4 linked regions of the Caenorhabditis elegans genome follow. The protein of the gene in region 3 interacts with the protein of the main gene of each other region in a pairwise test. Each region holds a gene or a part of one and is shown on either strand. Other genes may lie near its edges.

Region 1 (8,554 bases), on a different chromosome or scaffold from region 3:
TCATTCTTAACCACATATCTCAGTTCTTCTCTCACCTTTTATTTAACTCATTCTAAATGCCATCTCACACCAAGCCGGTCTCCAATGCTGCTCTCCCAAGAGTCCCAGCTCCACTGAGCCCTGCTCAACAAGTCAGAAAATACACTGACTACTTGCTCAAAGAGCACAACCGGTACTATGCACTGGAGTGTCTTCTCTTCCTCGACTGCCCGATTCGAGTATTCCGGGAATGCCGTACCGAGCAAATTGTCAAGAGCCAGTATGATGGACGGTATGAGTACCAGTACCCAGTCAACTTGTTGCTCCAGAAGCTTCGTCGTCTCGCTGCTCAGGAGTTGGAGCAGGATGTTGTGGAGCAAAAGATGCGGGAGGCTTCGAAGAACAAGGTGCTCTTCGCCAATGTGCTCAATATTTTTGCGGATTTGCAAAAGGAAGCGGAAAATTTCTCCAAGGTTAGTTTTTGTTGTTATTTTAAAATTTTGCTGAGAACTTTTTAATTTTCTGAAAACGAACTCAATTTTTAAAATAATAAAATAATTTTCGATTATTTTTGTACTTAAAATACCTACATATTAAGTTAAATTGCAATTTAAAAAAATTTCAAAATAAAAAATCTACACCGATTTTGCGCCGTAAATTTGGCCTGAAAAATAAAAATAAAATTTCGCACCAAATTAAATTTAAAAAAAAATTTCTAAACCTGACCAAACCACCTAAACTAATACTTTCCAGACTACAAAACAATCATCCACGTCACCATCAAGCTCCTCTTCATCCGAAGAATCGTCGGCTTCTTCCTCCCCAGTCGTATAATTTTACCAAACTTATTATATTCGTTGCCAATTTTTCATAATCTGTCATTATTTTCTTGTGTTTTCAACTAATTTTCCCTCATTTTTATTATCCAGTTTTTCAAAAAAACTAATCCCGATTGCAATGTTTCTTGTCAATTAAAACTGTACATCACAGATAAAACTTCAATTCAGTTTACTTATGTTTGCAAAAATATTCAGGCTTTAGGTTTTTAAGCTTTCAGGCTTGGACCGTTGAGCCCAGACTTGGATGCTAACATTTGAATTTAGATTTTCAGAATTATGGCTTTTGCTTAGGCGTAGGCTTGGGCTTAGGCATAAGCTTGGCGTCAGCTCTGAAAAAACATAGTCTGAAAATGCTCTCATTATCTACACACTCCAATTTTTCAGTGTTAAATAAATAAAAATTTGACTCCTAACTTTTTACATTTTTATAGTTTTATTAAAGAACTTGTTATTGTGAATCGAATGCGTTATGAATTATTGCAAAATCTTTGTTTGGCTTTATAGAGCAGTCTGAAAATGCTCTCATTATCCTAGGCCTAGGCTTAGGCTTAGGCTTAGTCTTAGACTTGGGCATAGGCTTAGGCTTAGGCTTAGGTGTAGTCTTAGGTGTAGGCTTAGGCTTAGGGTTAGGCTTAGGCTTAGGCTTAGTTTTCCAAGTTTTTGTATTAGGCTGTTTTTAAATTAAACTGTTTGAAAACATGTTCATTAGCTAAAAAAATATTTAAAAAATATAGAATTGGCACAAATATTCGAAAAAAAAAACAAAAATCAATAATTAAGCCTAATAGACCACAGGCTTCCGAATACAACATAGATAACTGTCGGTAGTGGAAGATGGTAGACACGTGTAGCCGAGTGGGCAGCTGGAATTATTTTAAAATATCGATTTTTGAACGTTAAACGTTTTCAACAATATATGTATGTTAGAATTTTTTTAATTCCGATTTAAAAAAAAATTTTAAAAAATTGGATAAAGATAATAAGATAATACTGATTTTTAGAGTTTCAAAAAACAATCGAAAAAAATTTTTTATTTTTTATTTTTCTGGAACTCACTCCAACGTAAACAGTGATAGACAACGCTGCACATCTTGATTAACATTTTTCGACGGCATATATGAAAATGGGCATGTCGGCTGCGCAATCACTTCTTCCTCTTCAATCGGCTTCTCAGTAGTTGTAGTAGTTGATGACGTCATAAACGTAAATGGCCCAATCATTGGAATCTGTGGTGGAAGGATTCGGTTCATTTGAATAGTACAACACACATAGACATCATCAATATCAGATTCTTGACACGAATATCCTGATCGAAGAATACACGGATCTCCGATATGATCACAAATGTATGGGAAGCCGTTTTCCATGAGTGGACGGGCTTCAGGGTCTTGGCAGTTTGGACTGTAATAAATATTAAGATATGATTAAGATACCTTTGATGGTTTAAAAGTAAAGTAACGCCAGTGGGGATTGTGTCTAAATACACTTAAAATTATTTCAAATGACCAAATATCATTAACAAACAGTCCAAAAATTTTTAGATTTTTCATTATTCCCGGTCAGTTTTGGAAAATTGCAAACATTTTGAAAAATATGAGCCTTTGAGGAAATCCAAAGCAATTTCGCATGTTCCAACCCCTACAATTTTTTAATACAAATAATTAAAAAAAAATTACAGTATAAAAAATGTAGAAAAAAATTTTTTTTTGGTTGACTTCCAAAATTATGAGTGGCAAAAACTGAGTAATTGTCACTTTTTGATAATAAATAAAAAAATTTCAAAAATTTTTTGAAATTTTTTAAAATGATATTCGATCATTTTGACACCAATGGAGTAGTTTTAAACACTTTCCCCTCTGGCGCTACTTTGCCTTTAATTAAGCAACCTACACAGATTCAAAAGGGTATGGTTCTGCAGTAGTTGTGGCTATGGTTATGGGAGCCTTCATAGTAGTTGTAGTGTAGTAGAATGGAGGGGGTAGAAGGGTTTTACGGCTGTTGCCGACTGAAATTTTTTTTTTTCTTGAATTTTAGTTTTTATAGGTTTAAGCAATAAAATACTCACGTCGATTTTTATACCGCTTACAGCAAATATGGGCGGTCTTCTCCTTGTTCAGCTCACAAAATGCTCCTTGTGAGCACGCCGGAAAAGCTGGGTCACATTTTTCACCGGTTCTGGAATAAGAATCAATACTGGGATTTTTTTGTAATTGAGTCATAAGCATTTCTACAGTAATCTAGACAATCAAGTACATTTGAAATTTTAAAAAAACTCGAGGAAATAAAATTTTTGGAAGTTTTTTTTGCTCTAAATGACATAAAATAGTTTCAATATACCGAATGTAACTGTAGAAAAATTCAATAGAAGCACCTAATAAAAAAATTTCGAATTTGTTAAAATGATTTTTCAATTATTCAACAATTTAAAAAACGGCCGAAATATATGGTTTGCGCGGGAATTCAAATTTAATTCGGCCGTTTCTTAGATTTTTTAAAAATTGACGAAAAATCATTTTAAAAAATTAGAAAATTTATTTAAAAATTTTCCAGATATATTTGGTCATTACGGCTCCATTTTCTGGCATTTGAATAGTTTTTAGTGTTATAAATCAAATATTTTTGCAAAATTGAAAAAAAATCGTTAAAAATTTAGAAAAATTTAGAGAAATTCCATAAATTTTTCTACAGTTATACTCGGTATATTAAGGCTATTTTCTGGATGATAAACACTGAATTAAATTTTTTGATAATTTTTGACAAACGGAAACTGAGCTACAGTACCCCAACAGTACACTATACAGTATACAGTACTACAGTACAATGTAGTAACTTACCCATTCTCCCCATTCCTACAAACCATCTCAATTCTTGAACCGAATGATTCCTCGGATGGACAACACCACATCTCATTCTGAATTTCCATGCACTTTTCATTTCTCAAACATCCGGCTGCGCACACACTTCTCGCAAACACTCCTGACGGGCATTGGGCTAACGAACAACATACACGAAGACCCGTCGGGGTTAGCGAACATTCGTAGCTGGAAATTTGAAATTTGCGGTGCAATTTTAGTTTAGAAGTTCTGAAAATGTTTAAAAATTTTTGTGAAATTTCAACTTTAATTTTCAAAAAATCAAAAAATTGATTCCAAGTTTTAGATGTTTTTCGGAAAGTTTCGAGCAAAAAAAATTAGCTCCTGGCTATTTTAAGAGCATGGCTTGAGCTGTAAAATTCACTTACCCCATCCCACATGGCTTCTTGTTACAGTCCCTCGGCACCAATCCATTCATCAAAATTTGACTTCCAACACCACAAATATCGTCAGAACTTTGACAGCATACCTCTACGTTACTGGTGCGGAATTTTGCGCAAACTCTGAAAATATAGAATTTGAAAAAAAAATTTTCGAATTTAATTTTTTTAAATTAGTTGAAATGTTAAATTTAAAGCATCATACATACAATTTTGCCAATTTTTTTCACAAAATTTTCGGCAAAAAAGCTTTTGTGGTGGGACCCAAAAATTCGAAATATTATTTAACGTTTGATTTAAAAATTTTTTTCATATTATGATATTTTGTTTGAATTCGGGGTACCCCGAAATAAATCTGAATTTTTACTTTTTTTCTATAACAGTTTCCAGGAAAATATCGGTTCTGAAACTTATCGTGGTGGGACCCAAAATGTTCAAATGTTAAAAAAATTTAATTTGTGATACAAACAGTTTTATGCTTTTGTTCAAATTTACAAAATCAAAATCTTCAATATTATGTGAACTTTCTGAAAAATCTAAAAAAATTTGAAATGTTCAAAAATAATTTTTTTGGGCACTAAAAATTTTTCTCCAGTTTTTTGGTGCAAAAATTGTAAATTTCGAGTTTAGGTAACATTTTCGTTTAAAAATAAATTTTTTAATTTTTAAAACGCAGTCCAAAACTAACCCCTGAACACAATCCTTGCACAAAACCAGAGATTTCCCATCATGTGCAATAATTGGATGGGATTTCGGACAGATTTGGGAGGAGTCTAGTGACGTCATCAGTGATGACGTGGATTTTTGCATCGGCTTTTCCTTTGGGAACGGTGCAGATTTGGAGAGTTTTAATTGTGATGTTATCGGGAAACTTCTGTAAAAATATGGATTTATTTTATTTGTAGTTATAGTTTTTATTTTAGAATGGTCTTCTTCTCCCAGAAAACCAAGAAGTGGGCGGAGCTTAAAATCACCAACTTTTCAATGCTCCTGTTTGAGCAGCATATCGACATTCCATCCTGACTACTTGATACACAAAATGATCCATCTGGGCAGTTATTCTTACGTTTTGGAAGACATGGAAAGCCGGTAGACATCCTGAAGTTTGAGTTCAAATATTTTTGGCGCGAAATTCAAAATTTCAGATTTTTAGCAACTTTGGCGCGACTTTCAGTTTTTGAATCTTTAAAATAGTTGGGGCAAGCTTCAAGTTTTAATTTTTTTGATATAATTTTTTTTTTTGATAATTTTGACAGAAATTTTAAAATTTCAATTTTCGCCAAATTTAGATATTTCAAAAATATCAACAAAAATAATTGGCGCCCAATTTAAATATTAAAAGAAATTTCAAAAAATGGTGCTAAATTTAATTTTTTAGAAATTGCAAAAAAAATTTAGCGCCAATTTTAAATATTAAAAAAATTTCAGAACAATTTTTGCGCCAATTTTAAATAATTCAAAAATATCAACAAAAAAAGTTGGCGCCAAATTTAAATATTTAAAAACTTGCAAAACAAATTTGGCGCCAATTTTAAATATTTAAAAAAAATTTTAAAAAGTGGCGCCAGATTTAAATATTTTAAAAATTTTAAAACATTGTGACGTCAAATTAAATTATTTAAAAATTGCAAAACAATTTTGGCGCCAAACTTAAATATTCCAAAAACTTCAAAAAAAATTGGCGCCAATTTTAAATATTTGAAAACATTTAAAAACAATTTGGCGGTAAAATAAAATTATTTGTTTTCAAAAAACAATATATAATCTGCGAAGTTTAACACAAAATTCAAAAAAAAATTTCCTCACCTATAAGCCGGATGCCTGCACTGCGGTGGCGGTACACAACATATACCCCTATGACAAAATGCTCCAAGAGGACATAAGCTTGCACACGTCTTCACGTGCTCCGTATCCGTTAGTGGAAGCTGTCCAACAGGGCAAAGATCCTTCAGATACTGATAAGGAGAAGCTAGGGCTTCAGAATTGGCAGAGGTGATAAGATTTATTAGAAAAATCCAAAGAAATTGGGAATTTAGAACTAAATTTCGAAATTCAAACTGCGAATTCATATTGCTGGTAGAGAAATGACCCGACGATGTATAAGAGGAAAATAATTCGGAACATTGGAGAAGAGACGTGACATATTCTGAATATGAGGATGTTTACATAACTACTCAAATATAGGGAAGGAGAGAAAGTTTCTTAATCCCTTAGGAAACTGGTTTTGATTAATCCTTCCATGTAGGCGCCAAAAGGCCTGGTGTGCCTACCTTGCGGCGACCTTCACCTGCCTCGGGCCTTCTGTATAGTGCGGAACCCGAAAAGTGTCGGCCGCGGCGGAAGGCAGGCGGGCAGACAGGCGTCAGGCCCTGAAACCGCGCCTGCCTCCCATGAAAGCCTTGATTTAGATTTGAACCAATATGTGGGCGGTGTATTTTAAATCTCCTATTTTGTGGCAAAATTCAAATTTTTTTTGAATTTTTTTAAATTAAACAATTATCGAGAGCAAAATTCAAAAATTCATGAAATTATAAATTTTTTCAAACAAAAAAAATTTTGTTCAGATTTAAACTTCAAAAAGCTTTTCAGATTTTCTAAAATCACCGAAAAAAGCCTGAGCCTAAACCAAAGCCTAAGCCTACGTCTAAGCGTAGGCCTGAGCCTAAGCCTGAGACTAAGCCTAAGCCTAGACCTAAGCCTATGCCTAAGTCAATTTCAAATGAATGCAAAATTCAAAAATTTCAAAAAATTAGTTTTTTCAAAAAATTAGTTTTCAAAAGTTTTTTGGCTGGAATTTCAAACTTTCCTGAATTTTTCAAAATGTCACAGATTTTCCTAAAACTTTTTTTTTTTCTAAAAAATTGGCTAAAAATTTTCAGGCACAAAATGCAATTTTCATAAGATTTTTAAAATTTTTTCGAGGTTTCGAAAAGGTTTTTGGCGCGAATTTAAATTTTTCGTAAAAACCGACGTATCGAGAACCAGTTTATTCGTGATAATAATTAATAATAGTTAACAAGATTGGCAAAGAAATGATAAGAAATAAATTAGCTGAAAATCAATCAATAAATCAATAAAACAATCTCTATTCTTACAATTCCTTCTTCTTTCCCTCTGGCTTCTTTGGCTTAAGCTTATCACCTCTCTTAGCCTCTGGAATGTCAACTCCAAAATGTTTAAGCACATCCTTCATAGAGTTAAGGATATCAGCTGGTGATGAGTAGTAATACGCGTAATTTTTGTATTCGGCCTTCTTATTTTTGAATTCTTGAAGAAGATCTCCATTTTTGTCGAGGAAAAGCAGACGTGGAATGTACTTTCCGTCTGGACGGTACTCCTCCTCGAATGGCTCGTCGTCGTCTTCGGTGTTAACCATTACAAAGTGCTCTGAGAGCTTTTTGAAGGCTTTCTTGGCGTTGGATTGTTGGAAGGTCTTCTTGAGAGCTGGAAAATTTGAAAATTCGAAATTGAAACATTTAAAAATTAGGCTTAGACGTAAGCTACAGCTTGGGCTTAGGCTTAGTCGTAGCCTTACACTTAGACTTAGGCTCAAACTTAGGCTTAGGACCCCAATAGATTTTATCCTTTTTTCAGATTAGTGGAATTTGTTTGGAATTTTTATTGAATTTTTGAAAGCTTTAAAATAATTTTTTATATAATTTTTGGAATTTTTAAAAAAATTTTGAGGTTTTTTCTCGCATTGGATTTTCTGGACTTGAAATATTTAAACTTCAAATTTTTTAAAACCAATTTTCAATTTTTTCACAAATTTTTAAACGAATACAATTATGTTTAAAGTTTCAAATGTTGAGTCATAAAAATTATAAATATTATTTTACATCAAATTTAAACTGTGGTTCGCCCACACACGGGTCCCATCACGTGAAAATTTTTGAATTTCCCAAAATTTGTACAAATGTGCATTTTTCTTAATTCAAAATTTTGCACGTTTTTTTTTGCAATTTTCGAAAAATATCAATTGAATTTCCCGATTTTTCCCTTGAAAACTATATGTACAAGCTTTGTGGTTTACAAGGTGTTCTGACACCATTCTTTGAATTAATAAAAAAAAGTGTGTCAAGGATGAATAAATCCCTCTCCTTTCTTGTCTTTGGTCGGTTACCCGGAGAGAAAATCGAAGCTGCAGTGGGGAAGGGACATGTGAATGTGCGCTCTATTGGACTAACTTGTTGAATAAAATGATTAAATTTCAAATTATTAGTGAAGCATGTAATCAATCACGCGGTGTCAGGGTGTCTCACTTCGGCTTGATCTACCTAGATCTACAAAAAATGCGGGAGAAGAGTCGCAGAGTTCTCAAATGATTTCGCATGATTAAGAACCTGCTGACGTCGCATTTTTAGAGCAAAAAATTCCCGCATTTTTTGTAGATCAAACCGTGATGGGACAGTGTGATACCACACGTATTATAAGAAATTGCCTAAATTTTCTCAACTGCCGCTCTTACCTTTGCAAGCATGGC
Region 2 (7,626 bases), on a different chromosome or scaffold from region 3:
GAAGCCTGGAAGGAAAAATAATTTGATTAACCAAAGTCAATATTACAAAAACGATGTCAAATCGCTCGCTCTTTGATTTCCCCGTTTTATGATTCCCGCGGTATTATTCCCGCGGTTTCCATTTCATGACCGCCGTCGCCCCATCATTTACATAATTCGATCAACTCTTCCGTATATAAGACTATTTCTTGGCCTCTTGCAGCACCCCTCAATCATTCAGTCAATCATTCAACCAACTTGTATTTGCTATTATTATTTAATAAATATTACTTTGGGAATCACGTTTAAGATCTTAACCTGTCCTCAGGACAATAACGATGATGTCTGAAAATATAAAAATAAATATCTGTATGTACAAAAATAACCAAGCTTTATGAATGCGATCTTTTTTCCAACGCTAATATTTTTCTTCTCACGTTTCTGAAAAAACCCGTTTGAAAATAGAATTTATCATTTATATATTTTTTAACTTGTAACACTGTTTATGTTCTTTATGCATATTGAAACTGTTTCAGTACGTACCGAATCTATAGACGCGCCGAGGCCAATAATCGATAATACAACGAGGTGGTCCATATTGTGCGAGTAACTTGTGACTACCTGTAAGAAAACGGGCTAAACGGAAGAACAACGTTCAAAAAATAATTCATCCCTCCAAAATCCACAACAAACGGTTTGCAATGTATGCATATTTATTTATAGGCGTTTTTCAAATACATTGGGTACATAAGAGATCTTGGTCAATCTTTCACGAGAGGAGAGTAGAAAAATATGTTATAACATCACATTAAGAGAATAATCTGGTGGAAAAATCAAAATAATCACTAGTAAAGGTGACGAAAAAAAAAAATTTAAATTACAATTTTTTAATTGCCGAAGAGAAACTTGTTTTGAATTCAGATAGGGCAAGAAAATATGGAACATTTAGTAAAGAAACTATTATAGGAATCGGAAACTCTGACACATCCTTCAAGATCTACATGGAAAGTAAGATGTGCCACAAATGAAGATGTCGAGGAAAAGGATTTTGTTCTTGAAGGATTTTGACGATGGCAACAAGAAATATTGGGTATTGCACCCTTGTAGTACAACGAGTACATATGTTCTATCATGTTTAATCAATGAGTTGTATGAATCTCCTAGAAGGGGGAGATAATTTAGATAATGGAGGGGTGCATATACTACATAACAATTAAAAATAGCATTGATCCCATGTTATCTTCTGCTGACAGTCTAAACAACTGATAATTGTATACCTGCATCTGATTCTATTTTTAGTTTTACCTATAAATCAGCAAACTTGGTTAATAAATACCAATATACTTTAATGAAAATTCGTGTTAAGGAGTGGTTTTCTGAAACTGTACAACACTTTGATTGAAAGCTTGTTTGAATGTTAACTGGCTTGTATGTTTTGATGTTATATTCAATGGGCTGTGAAACAACTTTATTGTAGAATTTAAGAATAAAAATTTAAACCACATTGAAAATGCAAATTATGGCAGTGAATGCTATTAAAACATAAATTTCAAAGATAAAACAAACTTTAATTTAACCTATCGTTGAAAGGCATTTGCATAATGGAAGACGTGAAAAATACAATTAATTGACTAGATATAGAGATTCGACTATTTGAGGCGGTGTTGTATGAAAGTATTGAATATAAGTACAAATTGAAAAACATAAATATGAAAGAAATGGGCGATGTAACCCTGTCTGACTGATTTTTTTTAACACAAAAAATTAGCATGGTGGCTTTGGTGGGCACTGAGTCAATCCACGGCATTGCTGGGATTCTTCGGCAAGACCGATGCAGTGACATCCGGATTCTCCAACACATTGACGGCTTCTGTAAGATATAATTCAGATTCTTAACATGTCTTCATCAAAAACTATTTCAGACCTAGATTGTACTCCAACTTCGCATGCAAGTTGTGTTGAGCATGGACTCCATTCGCACCTGGACATTTGAAAAAACTAATTAATACCAATGTAACAGTTTTAACTACCAAGTATTCCAAGCGCATTGAGGAGCACATGACTGACTGTTACATTCCTTTTCTTCACGATCTGGTCCATCGCAGTGGCATGATGAATCCGGACTTCCAGCGCTGTTCAAACATGTACGAGTGCGAATTGACTGTAATTCATTATTACCCCGTTCTGAACATATATTCAATATATCTCACCTGACCACCCCCGCATTCCTTGTCGCACATGGACCAGTGACACCACTCAGACCAGTTGCAGCAAGATTGCCCTTCGCAAAGGGTAGTTTCAATACTTGGTCCTTGGCAAGTAGTGGCTTCTTGCCCGTTTGGTCCAAGGCACCCACGAGTTCTAGTCCGTTGTCCGGGTCCGCACTTTGAAGAGCATCCTGACCACTCGCACCACTCTGTCCACTCGGCACATGGAGGTCCGTAGCAGAATTGGCTCTCTTCGTTTGGTCCTTGGCAATCAGTTCCAAATTGGCAGACACGTTGTCTCCGCTTCATTCCGCTTCCGCATGAAGCCGAGCATGTAGACCACTCTTGCCATGGAGACCAAAGAGAGCATGGTCCACCATCACAGGCACGTTGTTCAGTCTTTGGTCCTTGACAGAGATGATCACCGAAAACACCTCCGAGACATGTACGCTGACGAACTGCGACTCCTTGTCCGCAAGTCACAGAGCATTGTCCCCAATCTTCCCATTGAGACCATTCTGGGCATGGTCCAGCACTGCATTGCTCAGATTCGTAGTCCTTTCCTTCACATCTGTTTGTACCAAGATGACAGAATCGAGTTCTCTCGCGTTGACCTGATCCACAGCTAGCAGAGCAAGTTGACCACTCGCACCATTCAGACCATGTCTGACATGGGCCAAGATTACATGGCTCAGTCTCATAATCAGCTCCTTGGCAGTTATTGGTGGAGCATTCACGTCTTCTTGATTTAGCTCCATCTCCACAGGTGCATGAGCAGGTAGACCAGTCAGACCAATCATGCCAAACTCCAGAAACAACTGGTGGGTTGACACATCCTTGTCCATCGCATGCTGGCGGTGGTGGGGGAGCTGGACGATATCTGGTTGGGTAGGGCTGTGGAAGTGGTGGCTGAGTGGCAGTGTTGATCACTGGAGCAAGAACTGGCGGTGGTGTTGGGCGTTCTTGTTGTGGGGCCTGTGGAACTGGGGCGCAGAAACCTCCTGGGCATGGATCAGCCTTTGGACGAGCTGGATGTCTCTGATTGAAGTTCTCGCGGTATTGAGACATTCTCTGCTGATAGAGTTGAGCATGTTGATCGAGTGGAGAACGCTCAAGTTCTGGTTGCTGCTGTGGCTGCTGCTGTTGCGGATGTTGTTGTGGAGGGACTGGCCCACTTTGGAGTTGGATTTGAGATTGTCCGAACTGTGTTGTCTGTTGTGGCTGTTGCTGTGGATTTTGTTGACGTTGCTGCTGTTGTTGCTGCTGTTGTTGTTGTTGCTGCTGTTGTTCTCTCTGCCTTTGAAGATGAAGCTCGTGAGTTCCAGAGAAGGACTGTGGCTGTTGTGGTGGTCGCTGTGGTGGCTGTGGCTGTGGTTGTGGCTGTGGCTGTGGTGGACGTTGCTGCTGCTGCTGTTGCTGTTGTTGTTGTTGTTGCTGGTGCTGCTGAAGACGAGCCTGATGTTCTCTGTGTTGTTGTTCTCTTTGTTGCTGTTCCCTTTGCTGCTGCTGTTGCTGTGCACTTGGGTACTCTGGGGCACGTGGCGCATACTGCTGCGCTGGTGGAGCTGGGACTCTTTGTGGAGCAGATCTAGCTGGACATCCACGACGTTGGATTTTTCTTCCGTATTCGCATGCCTGAGAGCGCACCTCGTGTCCGTTACTGGAGCAATGGGACCAATCTGTCCAATCTCCGACTCCTTCAACAGCTTCATCGCCTTGTTCTAAAATCACAACTTTATATAAACCGAAGTAACGATCGAAATCTTACGTCTCTTCTTTCTGTCAACCTTATCGGTAGACGAAGCCAAACCGTCCTCCTCCAGTGGTGGATGAGCATCAAATTGGTGGCAGTCGACGACCAGTTCGAGCATTCTAACAATATCTTTCTTGTTTTCTGGCTTTTGCTCGACAAGGTCAATTTTATCTTGAACCGAGTTGTCGGAGAAGAGGTAGCAGAAATGCTTCTTTGTTTCGTTATGCAAGTAGTAGTAAACCACTGAAAACAAGTTGAACTTTTTTGTGAAGTTAATGTTTTTTTAGTCTTCATGACCCCAAACGCAGAGATCAAATTTCGAAGACGGAGTTTTGCGAATCAAGGAGGGGCAGTGTAAATTTGCAAAAGCAATCAGTTAAAGAAGCAGAAAAAGAGATATTTGCGGATGAGTGTCATTTGTTATAGATATTGCTTGACACATCACATCAATCTTCTTGGGCCGGATAGGATCCGGTGCAAAAATGAAAATTTTACCTGCGGAGCACTCTGGGAAGATGTCCACGCATTTCTTCTGACACTCGTAGGCGGTTGCCTGCATCATCAGCAATGGAGATGATCCTTCTGAAATAATCAAAGTGGTACGTGGACACACACGAAGTTAATGACGGATAATTGATTTATGTTTGTTTTGCTGCAAACACCTAATGCGTGAATTGTCAATAAATGAAACTAAAACAATAATTTATTTTTCATCAATGATTTTAGAAATACTAGTTTTTAGATGACTTGTATCAATTTTTTAGTGAAACGCATATGTTAATTAGAAACCAATAATATTCAAAAGGAAAATAAGATTTTCAGAACAATACAGTTTTTAAAACCTAGAGAAGTTTAATGAATTATAGTGATGAGATAAAATATTAATTTTTCAGGGGAAATGACCTGATGTAATTCAATGAACTTACCAAGAGCAGTGTTGTTGTGCATTCTGGCGCACAAATCATCAATTTTTGTGACATTTTTTCCTCTGGATACCGAGATTCTACCTGAAACTTGTTTTTCTTACACTTGCGTATCAACTTCACTGTTAGTAATACCTTTTGTGTATGACAAGCTTGAGGTTCATGCTTTATTTTTTTACCTATTACACCTTACTTCTCGCCCTCTCATAATGAAAGCTGAACCTCAAACCAGTTTCCATCTATAAACATATATACTCACCTGCGTCGGCTAGGCAGAACAAGACCGCTAAGGCGAATAAGCCTACAGTAGCCTGCATGTTGCGGCTGATAATGGACGGGACCGCGGACACGAGAGTGCACAACAAGTGACTGACGATGATACTGGGCGGAGTCGAGAAACAAGAAGAGAGGTAAGAAAAAGAAGAAGATGAAGAGGAAAAAGAAGAAGAAGAAGCTGAAACATCAGGGAGTGATAAAAAGAATGAGGAAGGGGGTTGAAAATACTACTGTAGTATAGGAAAGAAGAGAGGTATCAACTTTTCTTTCTATTTTTTTTAAGGAAAAATGCTCTACGCTTCTACTCAAACCAAAAGTGAGGCTAAAGATCAAAAAGAGTTGTGCGGTGAGCAGAAAAGTTAGAGAGAAACAGGAAGCAGTAATGGATGCTGAGAACGTTTTCAAATCGAACTCAAAGCCTGCGAGTATGCATTGATTATGATCGAGTCTTGAAGAGTAAAATACTAGACCAAAACAGAAATTATTCAGAATTGAGCAAACCTGTGCGGGTCAGAAAGTCATGTTGCCTTCAGGAAGTAGCAAAGATTAAAAAAAAACAATTAATTTTAAAAAGTATACAAACTTTCAAGTGAAAAAAAAAACAAAATTGCTTTTCTCATAGGTAATCTGTTTGAAATTGGAATTTGTTGTTCCTATTCATATGTCTTTTGGTGTATTAAAACCCCATATCTAAACAAAATAAGTTCTCCTCCCTATGTCGTCACATATCCATCAACTCCACTTTGAGTGATATTTTATCCTCGGCACTTTTCTTCGTTTCACAACACAACACAACATTTCGCACACATTTTTCATCCTCGTTATTTATTGCACAGTTGTTCAATTTAAAATCACTTTGAGGAGGTCCACCGCGGTCATTTGTTGCTCGGAAACTATACTATAATGTTCGAAGATGAGATTGATGACATTCTAGGAATCGACTCAAAAACTCGAAACTTTTGGTTTCTTGACAAACCCATATCATGCGAGCTTTTCGAGGTTGCAAACTTCAGGAAAGCATGCATCCGAAACGTCGAAATTTGAGCGAGCTGCTGACAAGTGCTGATGAACAAATCATATCCTTCGTGTTTTAATAAAAGCTTGGTGGCTGATGTGTCAGGCGAAAAACGAAAAAGAAAAGCAAAGAAAAGATAAGAGCAAGTCAGAAGCGGTATGGGCAACGGAAGCACACGCGACAATTTTTTCCACGAATCAGTGAGAAGCGAAGAAAGAAGAAGTTCAGGTGAAACATGAGATTCTGCTGAGAAGTGAGCAAGACAAGAGCAAAGCAGAGAGTTTGGAATGAAGCAAGTATGAAGATTATATGATTGATAGGCGGTGACTCATTAAGGTGGAATTACAAAAAATGTGAAGAGCTCATTCTTAATCACTACCAGTTGTGGGTGAATAAAATGGAGTTATGGAGACAATAATTTATGATTTAAAATATATCAAATCACTAAAAATTTCACTGTAAGTATTAAAAAAATACATCCAAAACCAGTCGTCTCATTTTGGCAGTTGGGCACATTACAACGCTGAATGCAATTTCAAACTCAATCGAAATTATGCAGCCGTAAGAATCAAAAATACTGTGAGAGAGTACAAATTATCGGAAAGTAATTTTAAAAAACTGCCCCCCCCCCCCCCGAAATTCAATGTGCCACTTCTCTTGGTTTATTCTACTTTCAGTCTCCAATTTAAACAAAAATTAGATTTTACACTCATTTCATATTCTGATTTTTATCCCAGACTGCATGTGACCACGTCACAAGTGTCACTTTTTGATTTTTCCGCAGCATTTTCTTTACGTTCATCATCCCTTAGCGTATCACAAAAATTTATTACACTTATATTACGAATACGCAAATCATATGAGCCAGACATGTGCAACAATGTGGAATGAAAAAATACATACAAATATACAAATACACAGAGGGTCGGGTGAACATTTAAAACTGAAAACCAAACTCAAAATTCAAAAGAAAAACGCATCTAAATCGCAAGACATCGGCAGTCGTATAAAGTGTTGTAGGTGTAACGGAAGTTCATGCACTTGCCAGGGCAATATCCTTCAGGATCCATACATTTTCTGCAGAACAAAAACTTAATAACTTGCTGTCAGTGTCAACTTCTCTCAAATATTTTTTTCAAATAATTTACGCAATCTTAACGTACCTTGTAAAAGTGTTGAATCCGCAAATGTGTGGAGCTAATGTACCTCCTTGGACATTAGGGACAGGGTTGTAATCAGGAACTATTCCTGACCGTATATTTCCCTGCAAAGCAAAAATGTTATATGTTCTCAAAAAAAAAAACATTTTTAAGCAATAAAAATTGTTGATGTTTACCTAGCTCACCTGATTTGCTCCATACCAGTGATTTGGGGCATACGGCCATTGCGACAACACTGCACCAACCAATAAACAACTAACGATGTAAATTTTAACAGTCATGAGATGGAAACGATGAAAAGTGATGAAAGTAA
Region 3 (6,501 bases):
GGAAAAAATCGCAATTTTCAGATCTCGAACAACATACTCGGCAAAATCCATAGTTTAGAAACTATTTATAGGTACGTTGGAGAAGCCTTAAAAAAATGAATTTTAACCGATTTTTTCTCTTATTTTCTGCGGTTTTTACCTTCTGAAAGCCTCCCTCCGTGTGGAATTTGTAGTTTTTTTAAATTTTTTTCGCAATTTTCAAATTTTTCCATTCTGCAGAACATAACGTTCTTTTTCTCATCAATTGCTGTGAAAACGAGGAGGCTCTCTCAATTTCGCAACGAGATCCTTCCACGAGAGGAGGAAAACTGAGATTTAGTGTTCCCATGGAGACGCAGACAGACTTCTATCAACTCGCTATTCAGTTCAAAAGCTCACGAGTTTTTGCGGTTAAGCCGGTCGAAATTGAATATTAGACGTTAAAATCAAGGCTGGAAATTAGAAATTTCGCTAAATTGCCATGTTTTCAAATTTTTCACCAGCAGTTTTTCTGGAAATTTCGAAATTTTAGTTTTTATAGTTTTTACAATGCGAAATTGAACCAATTTTAAAGCATTTTTCTTGAAATTCGAAGGAATTTGCCACGAAAAATATATTTTTTATGATTTTTTCTAAAATTTTTATGTCAAAATAAATCGAAATTCGACTTTTTCGGGTTTTCACAGAAAAAAAACCCAAAAAATAGTCTCGAATTCGGAAAAAGCGCGAAAAATTGAAAAAAGCCAATTTTAAAAAAAATTTTCATTTTGGCTGTTTGAATTCGCGAATTTGAATTTCCCGCCAAACTTTTTTTCTAAGAAAATTCGAATTTTCCCCGTTTTTTTCAGAAAAAATCGAGAAAAAGTTAACAACACGACTAATCAGCATATTCAAACTCCGCCCACTCCATCTGATTGGTTGAAAAGTGGGCGGCGCAAATCGCTGATTGGCCGGAGTTTTAAACTAGAAGAAACTTTTTTTTCCGCGATTTTTTCATTTTCTTTCGTGATATTTTTGAATTTTAGACTATTTTTTGAAGTAAAATCCCCATTCACACTACCTCACCTTCAGTATCACGGGCTTCTGGCCTTCCTCATTGAATTTTTCGCGCTCCATTGACAATCGCCTGCCGGACAACGCGTGGGAAAGTCGTGTACTCCACACGGACAAATACATTTAGTTTTACAATCGAGCCGCGACGCGACACGCAACGCAACGTAAATCTACCCCAGATTTGGCCTGGCCTAGTTCGGCAAAAAACTCTTCCATTTCAATTTATGGAGGGAAGCCAGAAATCCGTGTAATATTCTTATCACAAACCGCACCTTTTTCGGCGGAGACGCAGGTGGCGCTGCACAAATGAGAAGCTGTTTAATTGGCTCTGTGGTCCCTCCGGATACCCCCTAACTAATCCCTCGTCTATTCCGTCCCCCGGCTCTGCGTTGGCTCGCGCGCGCCCCTCCCGTCAGCCAAATCAACCCACAACAACACCCGTCTGCCCTTTAGCTCTTTCGAATGAGAGGAAAACGAGAAGCAGCTCACTGCTCACTGCTCTCTGTGTGCACGCCTAGTTAATTCCCACATTCGACATTCCATGCATTTTGGAGACCAATGCTCGCGGACAGCTCATTTTGGACAATGATTCGAATTGTCAGCTAGTCATAGCATAGTAAAATTATCTCCTTTTTTTTGGTGTCACGTGGCGTCTCATTTCGGTTTGATCTACCTAGATCTACAAAAAATGCGGCAGAGTTCTCAACTGATTTCGCATGGTTAAGAACGTGCTGACGTCACATTTCTTTGGGCGAAAAATTCCCGCATTTTTTGTAGATCAATCCGTTATGGGACAGCCTGATGGAAATTTTGCTTCAAAAATCTTTAAAAAATCGAAAAAAAAAATTTCTCAGAAAATTTGAATTTCCCGCCAAAATTATTTTAAGAGAAAATTTGAATCCTCGCCAAAACAAATTCGAAAAAATAAAAAAAAATTTCCCGCCAAATTTTTTTTTCGGAAAATTTGAATTTCCCGCCAAAATAGATATTTTCCGAAAATTTGAATTTCCCGCCAAAAAAAAATTAAAAAAATTTTGAATTTCCCGCCTAAATAGGTTTTTTTTCTCGAAAAAAAATTGAATTTTCCGACGAAATAGTTGTTTCACAGAAAATTTGAATCTCCCGCCAAAATAGATATTTTCTCCGAAAATTTGAATTCCCGCCAAAAAATTCTAAAATTTTTAAATTTCCCGCCAAATTTTTTTTCGGAAAATTTGAATCCCCGACAAAAATTTTTTTTCCCAGAAAACTTTAATTTTGCTCAGAAAATCTCAAAAAAATTTGAATTTTCCACTTTTTTTTCAGAAAAAAAAATTGTTTTTCTAAAATAACAAAAAAAAAGATTAATTCCCGTCTATAGCACTTGCACCATACCCGATTGGAATTGTCCTCCTCGATTTTTAGTTCATTTTCTGTCCAATCTTTTGATTTTGCATTCCTTTCTCTTTTTCATATCCAAGGCCCATTCCGGTTTGATCTACAAAAAATGCGGGAGAAAAGACACAAATTTCTCAATTGATTTCGCATGGTTAAGAACGTGCTGACGTCACATTTTTTGGGCCAAAAATTCCCGCATTTTTGGTAGATCAAACCGTAATGGGACGGCCTGTTGCCACGTGGTATATCCCCACGTGGTGTCAGGCAGTCTCATTGCGGTTTGATCTACAAAAAATGCGGGAACTTTCCCCCAGGAAAATGTGACGTCAGTACACTCTCATTCGATGCTAAATCAGCTGAGAAATCTGCGTCTCATCTCCCGCATTTTTGGTAGATCAAACCGTAATGGGACGGCCTGACACCGCTCCGTCCTCCTCTCGTGGTTGCGCCTAACTATCGCTAATTTGGTGTTTTTTTTCGGTGTTAGACTATCTCTACTCGAACGATGCCACAAACGTCGGCGTGGCAGCTCAACGACACAACTGCTAGACCACCACCACCACCACCACCACCTGGATCTGAAGCTGGAGGATCGGATGGAGCATCTATGAATGGAGCCAACACATTGCCACGTGTATCGAAGAGGGTTTCCGCTGCTGGAAAAACGTCGAATATTCCACGATTCAAACGACGTAAGAATTGAGTGTTTGGCTTGAATTTCCCCGTTGGTGGCTTGCTTGCTTCAGCTTACGGGATATGGTTTTTTTTAATGATGAATCCGTGAATTTTGCAACAAAAAAGCAGCGTCGCACAGAAAAAGAGGCGGAGCGTAATTTTGCAACCCTGCGGCACGGTTTTTTCTCCTTTTTTTCTGAATTTTTTTTTTCGATTAATTTCATTTTTTTTACAACCATGAAATATCCTCACAATCTAATAATAAGTAAATTGGGTAATACTTTCATTCGAAAAAAGACAAATAAAAAATAGAGAAAAAACCGTGCCGCAAGGTTGCGAAATTACGAAATTACACTCCGCCTCTTTTTCGGTGCGATGCTGCTTTTTTGCAAAATTCACGGATAGATTGTTTAATTTCAATAGTACTGAGTTGAAAACTTGAAAAAAGAGACATTTTTATTTGTAAAAAGCTATTAAAAAATGATTAATACCGTCAGACTGTTGAAAACGATTTTTCCGGCAAATCGACAAATTGCCGGATTTGCCGGAAAAAAATGGCCCCTAAATTTTCCGGCAAATCGGAAAGTTGCCGGATTTTAAATTTTCCGCAAATTGGCCGATTTGCCGGAAAAAGCGGCCCCTAAAATTTTCGATTTTTCTATTTTCCGAAATTCAGAAAATTACCCATAAGATATGATTTTTTAAAAATCTAATTTTGTTTATATATTCATGATAAAGAACATCTAAAAATAAGAACAATGATCAAAGTTTAAGCGAATTTTTAAAAAATCGAAAAAATTTCGAAATATCGATTTTTCGATTTTCAAAAATCGAAAAAACCGACACCCTTGATCGTTATCACTATTCGAAAATAATTGAATCTAAAGAATCGAGATCCTGTAAATCTACACTACAGTAGTCATATAAAGAATTACTGTAGTTTTCTTTTCGCTACGAGATATTTTGCGCGTTAAATATTTTTTTGTGTTCCCGTGTAATATAATCCTAATTTCCAGCCCATCTCCCTCATTCGACACGTCCTCTCTCCGCAGTCTTGACATCATCATCATCTCCAGTTGTTCATAGAAAGATCAGTCCATCATCATCTGCTCCATCAACATCCTCCGCACATCGTCGATTCTCGCATCTTCCTCAACAACACTTCCACCATCATATTCATCACAATCAGACCGCAGTGATCAGTGAAGAAACACTGACAACTCCACGAGCATCGACTCTTAATCTCAATCAGACAAGCGTCTTCCCAACGGCAATTTCCCAGGGAAGCATGCCGAATAGTGGCACGAACACTGCGGAAGCGTCAATGACGTCATCCGTATGTGCCATGGAAACCGAGGGAACGAATGGAGATGAGCTCGCAGAGTCCAGGGATATGGTCTCAGAAATGCAGCGGAGGTGTCGAATCGGGCCATCCGGGTATCCGCATTTACTGAAAGCCAAGCGACTCCGGTTCTATAGAAATGGGGATCAATATTTCAAAGGGATTCAGTATGCTTTACAAAGTGACCGGGTGAAGAGTATGCAACCACTTATGGAAGATTTGATGAAAACTGTAATCTGTGACTCGACGGCTCTTCCACACGGAATCCGTCACATTTTCACGATCGACGGCGCTCAACGCATCACTTCCGTAGATCAATTCGAAGACGGCGGTGGTTATGTGTGTTCGAGTACCGACGCTTTCAAACCGGTCGATTATTCGAGAGCCGCCGAGCCAAGTTGGCGTCTGACACTTGCCAATCGATACAATCGACACTTGGAGACGAAGAAGCTGGCGTTGAGTGTCGTAGAGCCGTGTCATGAGAATACGGATTTCGTGTTTCCACGAATTATCAAGGTTATTCGGAATGGGGTGAAGCCAAGGCGGATTAGTAGGCATTTGTTGAACAAGAAGACGGCGAGGTGAGAGCAAAAAATCGCCCCGACCAATCAGCGATTCGCTCCGCCGCCCACTTTCCAACCAATCAGGCGACGTGGGTGGAGTTCGAAGGTGTTGATTGGTCGGGTGAAGTCTCATTTTGAAGGGAATTCAAAAATGATTGTTTTTTTCGCGTTTTTCCTATTTTCCTAAGGAAAAAAAAATTATTTTTCAACCAAAAAAAGTGGCGGCGATTCAAAATTTTGAATGAAAAAGACAAAAAATTCAAAAAAAAAATATGCGAAAGAACGAAAAATTCGAATTTTTCTGCGACCAATCAGCAATTCGCTCCGCCCATTTTTCGCCCAATCAGGTGAGGTGGGCGGAGTTTGAAGATGCCTAAACGAGAACTCCCGCCCACTTCTTCAGATTGGTTCAAAAGTGGGCGGAGCTAATCGCTGATTGGTCGCAGATTTTTTTTGAATTTTTTGTCTTTTTTCTTAAAAATGTTGAACCGTCGCAACTTACAAAAAAAAAATTTTTTTTCATTACGAAAATAGGAAAAAAGCGAAAAAAACAATCAATTTTGAATTCCCTCCAAAATGAAACTTTACCCGACCAATCAGCGCCTTCGAAACCCCCCCCCCCCCCCCCCCCCCACTTCATCTGATTGGTTGAAAAATGGGCGGAGCAAATCGCTGATTGGTCGCAGTGGGAATTTGTCTAAAATTGGAAAAAATCGGTGTTTTTTGTTTTTTTTTCGAATTTTTTCCCAAAAAAAACACAAAAACCCAATTTACACTGCGACCAATCAGCGATTAGCTCCGCCCACTTTCCAACCAATCAGATGGAGTGGGCGGAGTTCGAAGGCGCTGATTGGTTGGTGAAAATTCGGTTATATTCCCTCCAAAAAGAGAACTCCCCGCCCACTTCATCTGATTGGTTGAAAAATGGGCGCGGAGCTAATCGCTGATTGGTCGCAGTGGGAATTTTTAATTTTCTCGTTTTTTTTTTCAAATTTTGTCCCAAAAAAAAACTTAAAACCCCAAAAAAAAAAAAATTCCAGATCCTTCGACCAAGTGCTCCGTGACCTGACATTTGTCGTGAAGCTCGATTCTGGAGCAATTCGAAAACTATTCACACTATCCGGACGGCCTGTTCTCAGTCTACAGGATTTTTTCCGAGACGATGATGTATTCGTTGCGTATGGTGGAAATGAGAAAATGGCTGCCGATGATCTACTTGTGGCTTCGGAAGAGCACAAATCTGTTGGATCGGGAACGTCGTCGAATATGAGGAGGTTTTGTTGCGGCGATTTTCTGGTCAAAATTAGGGTCTCGACACGAAAAATCTGAGTTGAAAAATGTTTTTTAAAAAATCCATAGAATATTCTAAAAAATCGATTAAAAGTTTTAAAAATCGATGAAAATTTTAAAAAAAACCGATAAAAATAGAAAAAATCTTGAAATCGATGAAATTTATTTTTAAAAAATCGATAAAAAATTGCTGAATTTTTTTAATCGATGAAATATTCCAAA
Region 4 (8,530 bases), on a different chromosome or scaffold from region 3:
ATTCTTCGGAATTATCCGACGGTGAATCATCTTGTCGTTTTGATCGTTTTGAACGTCGAAAGTAGTTTTCATTTTCAAGCAGCTGGAATATATTAAATTAATTTCTGTTGTGTTTTTGATCTTTGGACACATACTTTTCTTGTTTCTGCATCCATCCCCCGATTATTATTATTTTTCTTCTTCGGGGCAGGTTCATCTGGTTCTGAACTTGATGAGTTTTCACTAGCATCATCACTGTCGTCACTTTGATCAGAAGAACTTTCAGGTGAATCCGCAGCTGGAAATTGAGTCAAATAAAAATAACTTATTTTTTTAAAATAGTATTCGTGTAATGTAACATTCTTTTTTGTAGTTCACAAAATTTCAGATACTTAAGATTTTAAATGTATTTGATGAATTCTGAAAATAGTTAATATCCAACCTTTTTCTTTTTCATCATTATCTTCACTGGTACTGTTTCCTTCAGGATTTTCTTCTTCCCTCACAGGTTCATCTGTTTTCTCATCAGGTTCTGCATCACTCCCAGATGATGATTCAGACTGATTCCACATATCTGAAATTCTTATTTTTTCTCAACAAAAAACCCCGTAAAAATTCCAAAAAGACGGTAAAATTTAGCAAAATTTTGTTCGATTATATTTATATTCATAAATATTACTATTTTGATAACTATTTTAGCTAATTTTAGCAAACAATCTTATTAATATTCAAATTATTTCATTTTGGCGCCGATACCGTTATATTTACAAGAGGAAAAAAATTCAAAAAAAAAATCAATGAAATCACTGACGTAAAATCAAAAAACTTTTTTTTCAAACATCACTAAACTATAATAAAATAACATCAAAATAATTCAAAAATTCTCAAAAGTATGTGCAATTTGTTAAATACGGTACTAGATCCCCGTTAACATCGGAATAAAAAACAATTGCACTAGGCCCATTAATAGTACTTTCCGGTGCAATTTCCTATATTTTTTTAACTGAAAAGGGTACTAATTAAATTTAGCTGTCTATAGAAAACATTTTAATCGAAAAATTCTGCTTGTGAGCCAAGAAATCGGTCCAAAAAGAGATGCGCACTTCAGAAAAAAGCGAATCGCCCAGCCATGAACACCTCACAACCGCGACGCAACCGCTCGCGATCAAAAGTGCTCGTTACTCTAACCGCGAATTCAAACTTGCATTTTTAGTCAGAATAGAGCCTCCCACATTGATGCTTTTCATGTATTTGTGTGAGAACAACTCAAATATTAGAGACCAGAAGGTTTATTGGCAAAAAAGGCGTACGAAACGCCATAATGAAGGCACCAAACGGTCCTTTTTACATCATAAAACAAGAAAGAAACCGTGAAACAACCGTCAAGTTGAAAATTCTTCGATTGGGAACCCTAGTCGAAGCTGCAAACAATAAATAAATAAATTACAAAAGGGAAACAACGAGGGAGGGATTTGATAAAAATTCTCTATAATTATCCAATTACAATTCAGTCTTCTTCTTCTTCTTTCCGTCGCGGCTGAAACCCTTGAGCCCATCAGTAGAGTGCTTTGAGATGAAGCTGACGAAATCCTTAACTTCGCGTCCTCCATTGTATGGGATCGGGTTCGACTTAGCGTTCTTTGGAAGCCAGAAGAGAGTTGGGAATCTGCAAAATTATACAAATAATTCAGGATCAGCATTGGATAAAATTACTAACCCTCTAACTTCGAACATTGGTGGAACATCATTGGCGGTGGCATCCATCTTAGCAATGATAACATCTTCCTTGTTGAGCTGAAATTACAAAATTTGAAAGTATTTTACAAATTATATCACAAGCCTGAATACTTTAAGTGTCTCCCAGTGTAAACTTAAATATTTAAAAAAGTTTAATTAAAGTTAACTTGTATTTTTGAAAAACCTTTCAGAAAGCTTATCACAAAAGCACTTTAATAAATAAAAAATTACTATGTAAAAAATAACTTGCATGCTAACTTCTATTTTTATTTTTAAGTTTTTCTCACATTCGTGTTTCAAAATAAGTAAAAAATAAACTTTTTAAATGTGAACTATGGGAAGATGTTTAAAAAAAACCAACTGTTGCGAATTCTTATTCACAATACGTCGTATTAATTTTATGTAACAAAAAATTCTACCTTCTCAGCAAGTTCCTCGTATTTTGGAGCCAATGATTTGCAATGTCCGCACCATGGAGCATAAAATTCAATGAGCACATCCTTATCAGCATCCATGATAAGTTCCTTGAAGTTCTTTCCAACGGCAACCTTAACGTCTCCTTGTTCATCTGGGATTGGCTCAGACTTCATGTATGGTTCGGCATTTCCGGCGAGAACTTCATCAACGAATTGCTGGAGATTGTCAACGCTGAAATTATTATTATATTAAATATCGGTTGAAAAACATTGAAATTATTTTCTGATAATATATCAGAGCTTTAACACACCTGAATTCTTGGTCCATTGGATACTTTCCTTCATTAGTGAGAATGGCAACGATTGGCTTATCCGAGTCCTTGCGCTCTCCTAGTCCATTGGTTTCAATTTCAGAAGAGAATTCTTCTTTGTTGGAAACGGCGAATTGAACTTTTCTCTTATAGTTTTGAGCAACTTTCAAGACACGGTTGCGCCAGTAGTTGGATCCCTTAGGATCCTTGACGTAATCAACGTTGTAGTAAACAATGACGATTGGCTTTTGCTCGAATTGGAACAAGTTTCCTTGAGTACGAATTCCGGCAAATCCAACACTTAAAATATGATAATTAATTACAAGCACAATAATTTAATCATGACTAACGTTTCATGGACCAAGAAGTTCTTAATCTTATCGGTGTCGTAGTTACCATCATATTTGAACTCGTTAGTGTCAAACTTGTTATGGAGCTTTTTTGGAACGAAGACAACGACGTCACTGAAAAATAGCTCATTAAATTATCAGGAACATGCGAATTCACAATTAGTACTTACTCAGAGTATCCAGCCTTCTTGATGATGTCTTTGTTGGAAGTGTGAGCGAAGGAGAAACGATCACGTTCGGTATCAGCAACCTTGAGATAAGAATCCTTAAGCTTGCTTTCGCTCTCGAAGAATCCTTTAAATAATTAAATTTAAAAAAGCCAAGAAATAAATCAACCAACCGATGACAACATTTTCATCTCCACCAGTGAACTTCTCGAATTCGGCAACGGTCTTAAGTTCCTTGGAAGAAGGTCCCGACTGTCCGCGCATGAACTTAACGATACCATCGGCATCACGTGGTCCATCGTAGTCTTGGGCTGGAACTCCATTGCGGAAGATCTTAAGAGTTGGGAATCCCTTAACTCCGAATTTGTCACAAACAGTCTTCTCGGTGGTACAATCGACCTGAAAAAAAAACAATGAGAGAAATACATATGCGTATTTAATAATGAGTTCATTCACCTATGTGAAATGCAATAAATATTGTAAAGTCACAAAACGTATTGAAATATAAGTTACGACACCATGAAATGTTTTTCAAACTTTGGATATACTTTGCGAGACCATGATTCAGAACAGGGGTGTGCGGCAAATGGAAAAAATTGCCGAGCTCGGCAAATCGGCAATTGCTGGTTTTTCAAAATTTGCCGTGCTTAACAAACTCGGAAAATTTTGATAATTTTTGATGTTTTTTGGAACACCAAAACTACCGAATTCTTAACACACATCTGGTTTCTGAATTAGTTCCGTGTAGTATGTCTGCTTAAGCATAAAACTAACTCAATTTTGTGTCATTTTACTAAATTTTTGGCGAAAAAATCAATAATTTTACTCAAAATTGTACTGTAAAATTTTTGACGTGTGCGGCAAATTTCGAAATTTGCCGAGCTCGGCAAATTCGGCAAATCTACCTTTTTGAAATTTGCCGTGCTCGGCAAATCGGCAATTGCTGGTTTTTTCAAATTTGCCGAATTCGGCAAATCGGCAAATTTGCCGAGCTCGGCAAGTCGGCAATTTTCGGCAAATTTGCCGCACACCCCTGATTCAGAAATCCATTGATTATGTATTGGAACATGGCCACAACGCTGCACTTTTCGTCATATTGCAGAAGTGAATAAACAAGATGTGTCAACCAAAATGATTTGAACAGGCTCTTTCAACATTATTATAATACACCCACGTTATTACTATGTGATCGTCACTATCGTCGTCCAATAAATAAAACTAATCGATGAAATCTTTCCAATACCTTGAAACGATCGAATTAATCAAAAAGTATTCGGTCATGTTTTTGATTCTTACTATTAGGATACTGAAATTACCTCTATTAGTGTCACATGCCAGACTAAGCTACGAATGACCCTTAGCTTTGGAAACTATATGACGCAGTTGAAAAAATACATATAAAGAATATATTTGAAAATTTTGAAACTATTCAGGCAAGTCTATTAGAGGCTGCATCACTAATTTTTGATCGACTCTCTTGGATGCGATATTGGCAGAGAAATCAGTATTTCATTCACATGCATCATCCTATTCCTTTTCAGAGATATTAAAACTTAAATTATTGAAATTCAACTTTTAAAAAAATGCAAGCTAATTCAAGCATTTTAAAATTAGCTTTAAATATCATATTTTCAATTCGAATTAAAACATGATCGACTGATTGAAATTGGAGAACATTTTCATTTTCACGACAACAGGGCCGGCTCCCGCAATCTAGGGTGCTGTGTAGCACATGATTTGGTGACCATCAAGGGTGTCAAGTCCCGTGTCCCGTTGTCCCGTTTTTTGGGTGTTTTCACGGGAACGGGACGTCCCGTTGTCCCGTTTTTAAAATTATCACGGGAACGGGACGTCCCGCTGTCCCGTTTTTGAGCGTTTTCACGGGAACGGGATGTCCCGTTGTCCCGTTTTTTGGGTGTTTTCGCGGGAACGGGACATCCCACTGTCCCGTTTTTGTAATTTTTACGGGACACTGACACCCTTGGTGACCATCCCTAACTACTTGTTTTCTAACGATAACATGCGTTGCTAATTTTAGAATCACGAAATTACAACGAAGTCGGTCAAATGAAGTTTTATGGCCTCTTTTCATTGAAAAAACTCCGGAAAATGTGTCAGAGCCGTACAACGCAAGGAGGTGGATCTTATATTTTCTCGAAAACTTGAGCGTGACGCCCATTTTTCTGGGTCTTTGCGGCAAGCTCCGCCTTTTTTCGGATAACACTGGGAAAGAGATTTCGAGAATTTTACAAAGATACACGTGAAAAGAAGAGGAATTGTTTGCCAAAAGGAACACCGTAAAATGTTTAATTGAAAAAGTCTGTCAATTACTGCTTCAAAAATTTCAAACATATACTATTCTCTATGGCAATGCACATGTGATAGATCGTTTTCGAGATAATATTGAATTTACTGTTTCAAAACTGAGAATTCTTAAAGGGGGGCTGGATTCCTATTACTAAACCGTGGTTCAAATCTTTGTTTCTTTTTTTTTACAATCTTCAACTTCAAAAACATAATCTTTTGTTTCATTTACTACCATATCGCACTCGTTTGTGGTATAGATAAAACTGTTTGCTACGCGACTGGTGTTTTTGCTCTTATCGTTAATTGATGTCCGTATTCTGTAGAGTAAAGACCTGACAACAAACAGTGATTTGATGCGTGGGAAAATGTAAATGTCGAGCCGATCTCATTGTCAATGGCCTTTTGAATACACAATAACCATTTTGGACCAGCATACATAATATATATGACGGACAAATGTTTCTATATGCATAAGGACTAGAACAATAAATTCAAAGAATCCTTTGTATGCATTTCATATATTTCTATTCAATGTGGCTTTCGTTGCTGTTTTATCAGCTTTCGCGTATTTGTCAGTGTCACTGCGATCGATATATGAGCGATGGCTGTGTAAATAAGTATGGTTATCTTACCTTGACGAGAGCGACTGGTGGATCGTTAGATGCGAGTTTTGGGGCAGCTCTCTCATACTCTGGGGCAATTTTCTTGCAGTGTCCGCACCAGGGAGCGTAGAACTTGACAAGAGCAATGTCGTGGGTTTGGATGAGATCATCGAAGTTTCCGTCGGTATACTCGAGAACGGCTCCTCCAGCACTGGCGAACGCCAGGAAGGAGGCGACCAAAGCTGCCTGGACCCAAATCATTACCTAAAAACTTTACCTATAAACGACAATCGATCGAGTGAGTTTAGAGGGCGAGAGATTATCGGGAACACCGACAAAAAGTTAAAAACTAAGAAACAAGATTAGAGGTTTTCAGATTATTCAGAAATATTTTCTAGAAATTGAGCGAACGATTGAAGAGAAGGGAAGGTGTTTTCGCAATTAACAAACCGCGATCGCATCGAAAACGTGAGCCGCTTGACGCGAAACGTGTTTTCGTGGCGAGATACCGCGAGCGGTAAAATCAATGCGCCTTTACTTTATTTATTTTTTTTTCGCATTTATTTTCATTCTTTTCTGTGAATCACATGTGAATGGACAAATACAGATTGTTTCGGGTTCAATTTTAAGTATTTACAAACACTTTTCAAAAATTATCTTTAATAAGTGGAAAATACAGTTAGTAAATAACTATAAATTTTAAGCTTAGAAGAAGAAAGCCAAAAAACATGTGTTGTATGGAGGAGAAATTTTATATAGACTCGGGGAGCGTTATATCACTTTTAATGATATTATTACTAATAATCCAGAAAATGCAGAGCAGAAGCATAAAAATAGACCCGAATTGTTAAGGTCCACGTGGCGCTCGTGTGTACACCAGGGATTGGTAGGAACTGAGCCAAAAACACGTCGTTCACTGCCTGTCGCACGCGTGTTGTGTGCCGATTGGCCTCATTCTTGTGAGAACTCCGCCCAATGGGTCTCGCACGGAAGAGGCGACCATCATGTGTCGATTTACGCAACTACCGCATCATTTTATTGATCATTGTTTTTTATTCATTTTATGACCTGATATAGAAGGAATCGACGTTAAATTGGAAGGCAAATTGATTGGAGCGCCATTTAGAACTTTAATTTCTTATTTTTATTGTAAATTTGAATCGATAAAAGGAACAAAAAGATCACCATGGAAACCAAATTAGTCATCACGTGCATATTGAAGCTCGCGCGTCAGGAAGAATTGTGTCTTCGTTTATCTTCGTTTATTTTCTATCGAAGAGACCCATTACATTATTACATTATTCGGTCTGAAATAGTTGCGAAATTTCTTTTTGCGCTTCGAGAATATTCTCGATTTATCGATGCAACGTGTTCTTTTCCGTCTCCGCCTCTCATTCTCTCAATCCTTTTTCTTTATTTAATTTTGTCGGTTTTTTAATATTTCTCAAATTTAAGATGGCTACAGAGAGTGCACTCATCAAAGTTCACGTGAAATCACCGTCGAACAAGTATGACGTTGAGATTGCTGCGGATGCATCAGTTTCAGAAGTATGTTATATTTTATTTAAAAAATAAAATTTTGCTCTTGAGAATTAGATAAAAATTCAAGTGATTATTCCATTTTGATAAATTAAATGTGTAAATCACAGTGTTTAATTAATATTTTACAGCTAAAAGACAAGGTTCTTGTGTTCGTTCCAACTGCGAACAAAGAACAAGTTTGTATAATTTACACCGGAAAAATTCTGAAGGATGAAGAAACTCTCACACAGCACAGTAAGTTGAAAAATGTGTTCCAAAAAATAATAAACAAAAATTTAGAAATCGCTGATGGTCACACCGTCCACTTGGTTATTAGAAATCAAGCCCGTCCAACACCAGCGCCGGCTGCTGCAACACCAACAGCTTCATCTGCACCAAGTTCCAATCCAACACCTTCTTCACAACCGAATCCTACCAATAATCCATTTGCAGCAATGGGAGGAATGGGATCACCTGCTGATATTTTAAACAATCCAGATGCTATGCGTTCAGTTATGGATAATCCAATTACACAACAACTTCTAGGAAATCCAGAGTTTATGAGAACAATTATTCAATCCAACCCACAATTCCAAGCATTGATTGAGGTTCGAGTTTTTCCTGGATATTTGTTTTGTAAATTTTCGGATTCGAAAAATTATTTAATTTTTTAATCTTCCACATTTCTCTCGTATATCGACAATAAATATTTTCAGAGAAATCCAGAAGTTGGACACATTCTCAACGATCCGAATGTAATGCGTCAAACTATGGAGATGATTCGTAATCCAAATATGTTCCAAGAAATGATGCGGAATCATGATCAAGCTATTAGGAATCTTCAGGTACATTATATATAGCTATGCTGATCAAGGGATGCCATTTTTCAATTTTTCAATGTTTTCAGCGAAAATCGAAACATCGAAGAAAAAAAGTCCAGAAAATTATCAATAAAATTTGATTTTTATCAAGTTGTGTGACACACAACTTGTGTCATATATGTTGGTGACAAAAAACATACGAAGACATTTTAATGTTATCTAACAATTGTCTAAAAAAAAGAAAAATTACCAAAATTTAATACCATTTTTTAAAAATTGAAAAAGTCGGTTTTTTCTCTCTAAAATCGAAAAACGAAAA

Evidence for each region.
Region 1: the proteins of zyg-8 (region 3) and Y57A10A.24 interact in a two-hybrid assay, tested with the Caenorhabditis elegans proteins (one large-scale study listed by BioGRID).
Region 2: the proteins of zyg-8 (region 3) and T21B6.3 interact in a two-hybrid assay, tested with the Caenorhabditis elegans proteins (one large-scale study listed by BioGRID).
Region 4: the proteins of zyg-8 (region 3) and pdi-3 interact in a two-hybrid assay, tested with the Caenorhabditis elegans proteins (one large-scale study listed by BioGRID).

What each region holds. Positions count from the first base shown.
Region 1 is NC_003280.10:12,240,581-12,249,134, reverse strand, and holds Y57A10A.24 (EB domain-containing protein), read right to left. Parts: upstream 6,190-8,554; 5' UTR 6,141-6,189; coding exon 5,878-6,140; intron 5,170-5,877; coding exon 5,050-5,169; intron 4,946-5,049; coding exon 4,760-4,945; intron 4,195-4,759; coding exon 4,060-4,194; intron 3,860-4,059; coding exon 3,653-3,859; intron 2,994-3,652; coding exon 2,884-2,993; intron 2,824-2,883; coding exon 2,709-2,823; intron 2,220-2,708; coding exon 1,875-2,219; intron 1,682-1,874; coding exon 1,600-1,681; 3' UTR 1,506-1,599; downstream 1-1,505. Other genes in the region: tag-276 (uncharacterized protein), read left to right, coding at 57-452, 733-813; txdc-12.1 (Thioredoxin domain-containing protein), read right to left, coding at 7,163-7,515, 8,540-8,554.
Region 2 is NC_003284.9:10,943,724-10,951,349, forward strand, and holds T21B6.3 (Apple domain-containing protein), read right to left. Parts: upstream 5,230-7,626; 5' UTR 5,180-5,229; coding exon 5,122-5,179; intron 4,947-5,121; coding exon 4,866-4,946; intron 4,602-4,865; exon of another isoform or gene 4,538-4,601; intron 4,522-4,537; coding exon 4,435-4,521; intron 4,183-4,434; coding exon 3,955-4,182; intron 3,908-3,954; coding exon 2,190-3,907; intron 2,141-2,189; coding exon 2,010-2,140; intron 1,961-2,009; coding exon 1,904-1,960; intron 1,850-1,903; coding exon 1,744-1,849; 3' UTR 1,437-1,743; downstream 1-1,436. Other genes in the region: K09C8.7 (uncharacterized protein), read right to left, coding at 7,134-7,230, 7,317-7,417, 7,499-7,594.
Region 3 is NC_003281.10:12,058,825-12,065,325, forward strand, and holds the start of zyg-8 (Serine/threonine-protein kinase zyg-8), read left to right. Parts: upstream 1-2,888; 5' UTR 2,889-2,914; coding exon 2,915-3,101; intron 3,102-4,100; coding exon 4,101-5,007; intron 5,008-6,029; coding exon 6,030-6,263; intron 6,264-6,501. UniProt on the Caenorhabditis elegans protein: Probable kinase. Kinase activity may be involved in positioning of spindle poles in meiosis and mitosis. Plays a role in spindle positioning during asymmetric division of one-cell stage embryos.
Region 4 is NC_003279.8:7,014,658-7,023,187, forward strand, and holds pdi-3 (Protein disulfide-isomerase), read right to left. Parts: upstream 6,134-8,530; 5' UTR 6,131-6,133; coding exon 5,900-6,130; intron 3,360-5,899; coding exon 3,134-3,359; intron 3,088-3,133; coding exon 2,964-3,087; intron 2,908-2,963; coding exon 2,794-2,907; intron 2,744-2,793; coding exon 2,444-2,743; intron 2,365-2,443; coding exon 2,136-2,364; intron 1,774-2,135; coding exon 1,697-1,773; intron 1,646-1,696; coding exon 1,480-1,645; 3' UTR 1,255-1,479; downstream 1-1,254. Other genes in the region: chd-1 (Chromodomain-helicase-DNA-binding protein 1), read right to left, coding at 1-82, 135-277, 422-551; ubql-1 (Ubiquilin), read left to right, coding at 7,325-7,417, 7,540-7,645, 7,691-7,998, 8,107-8,235.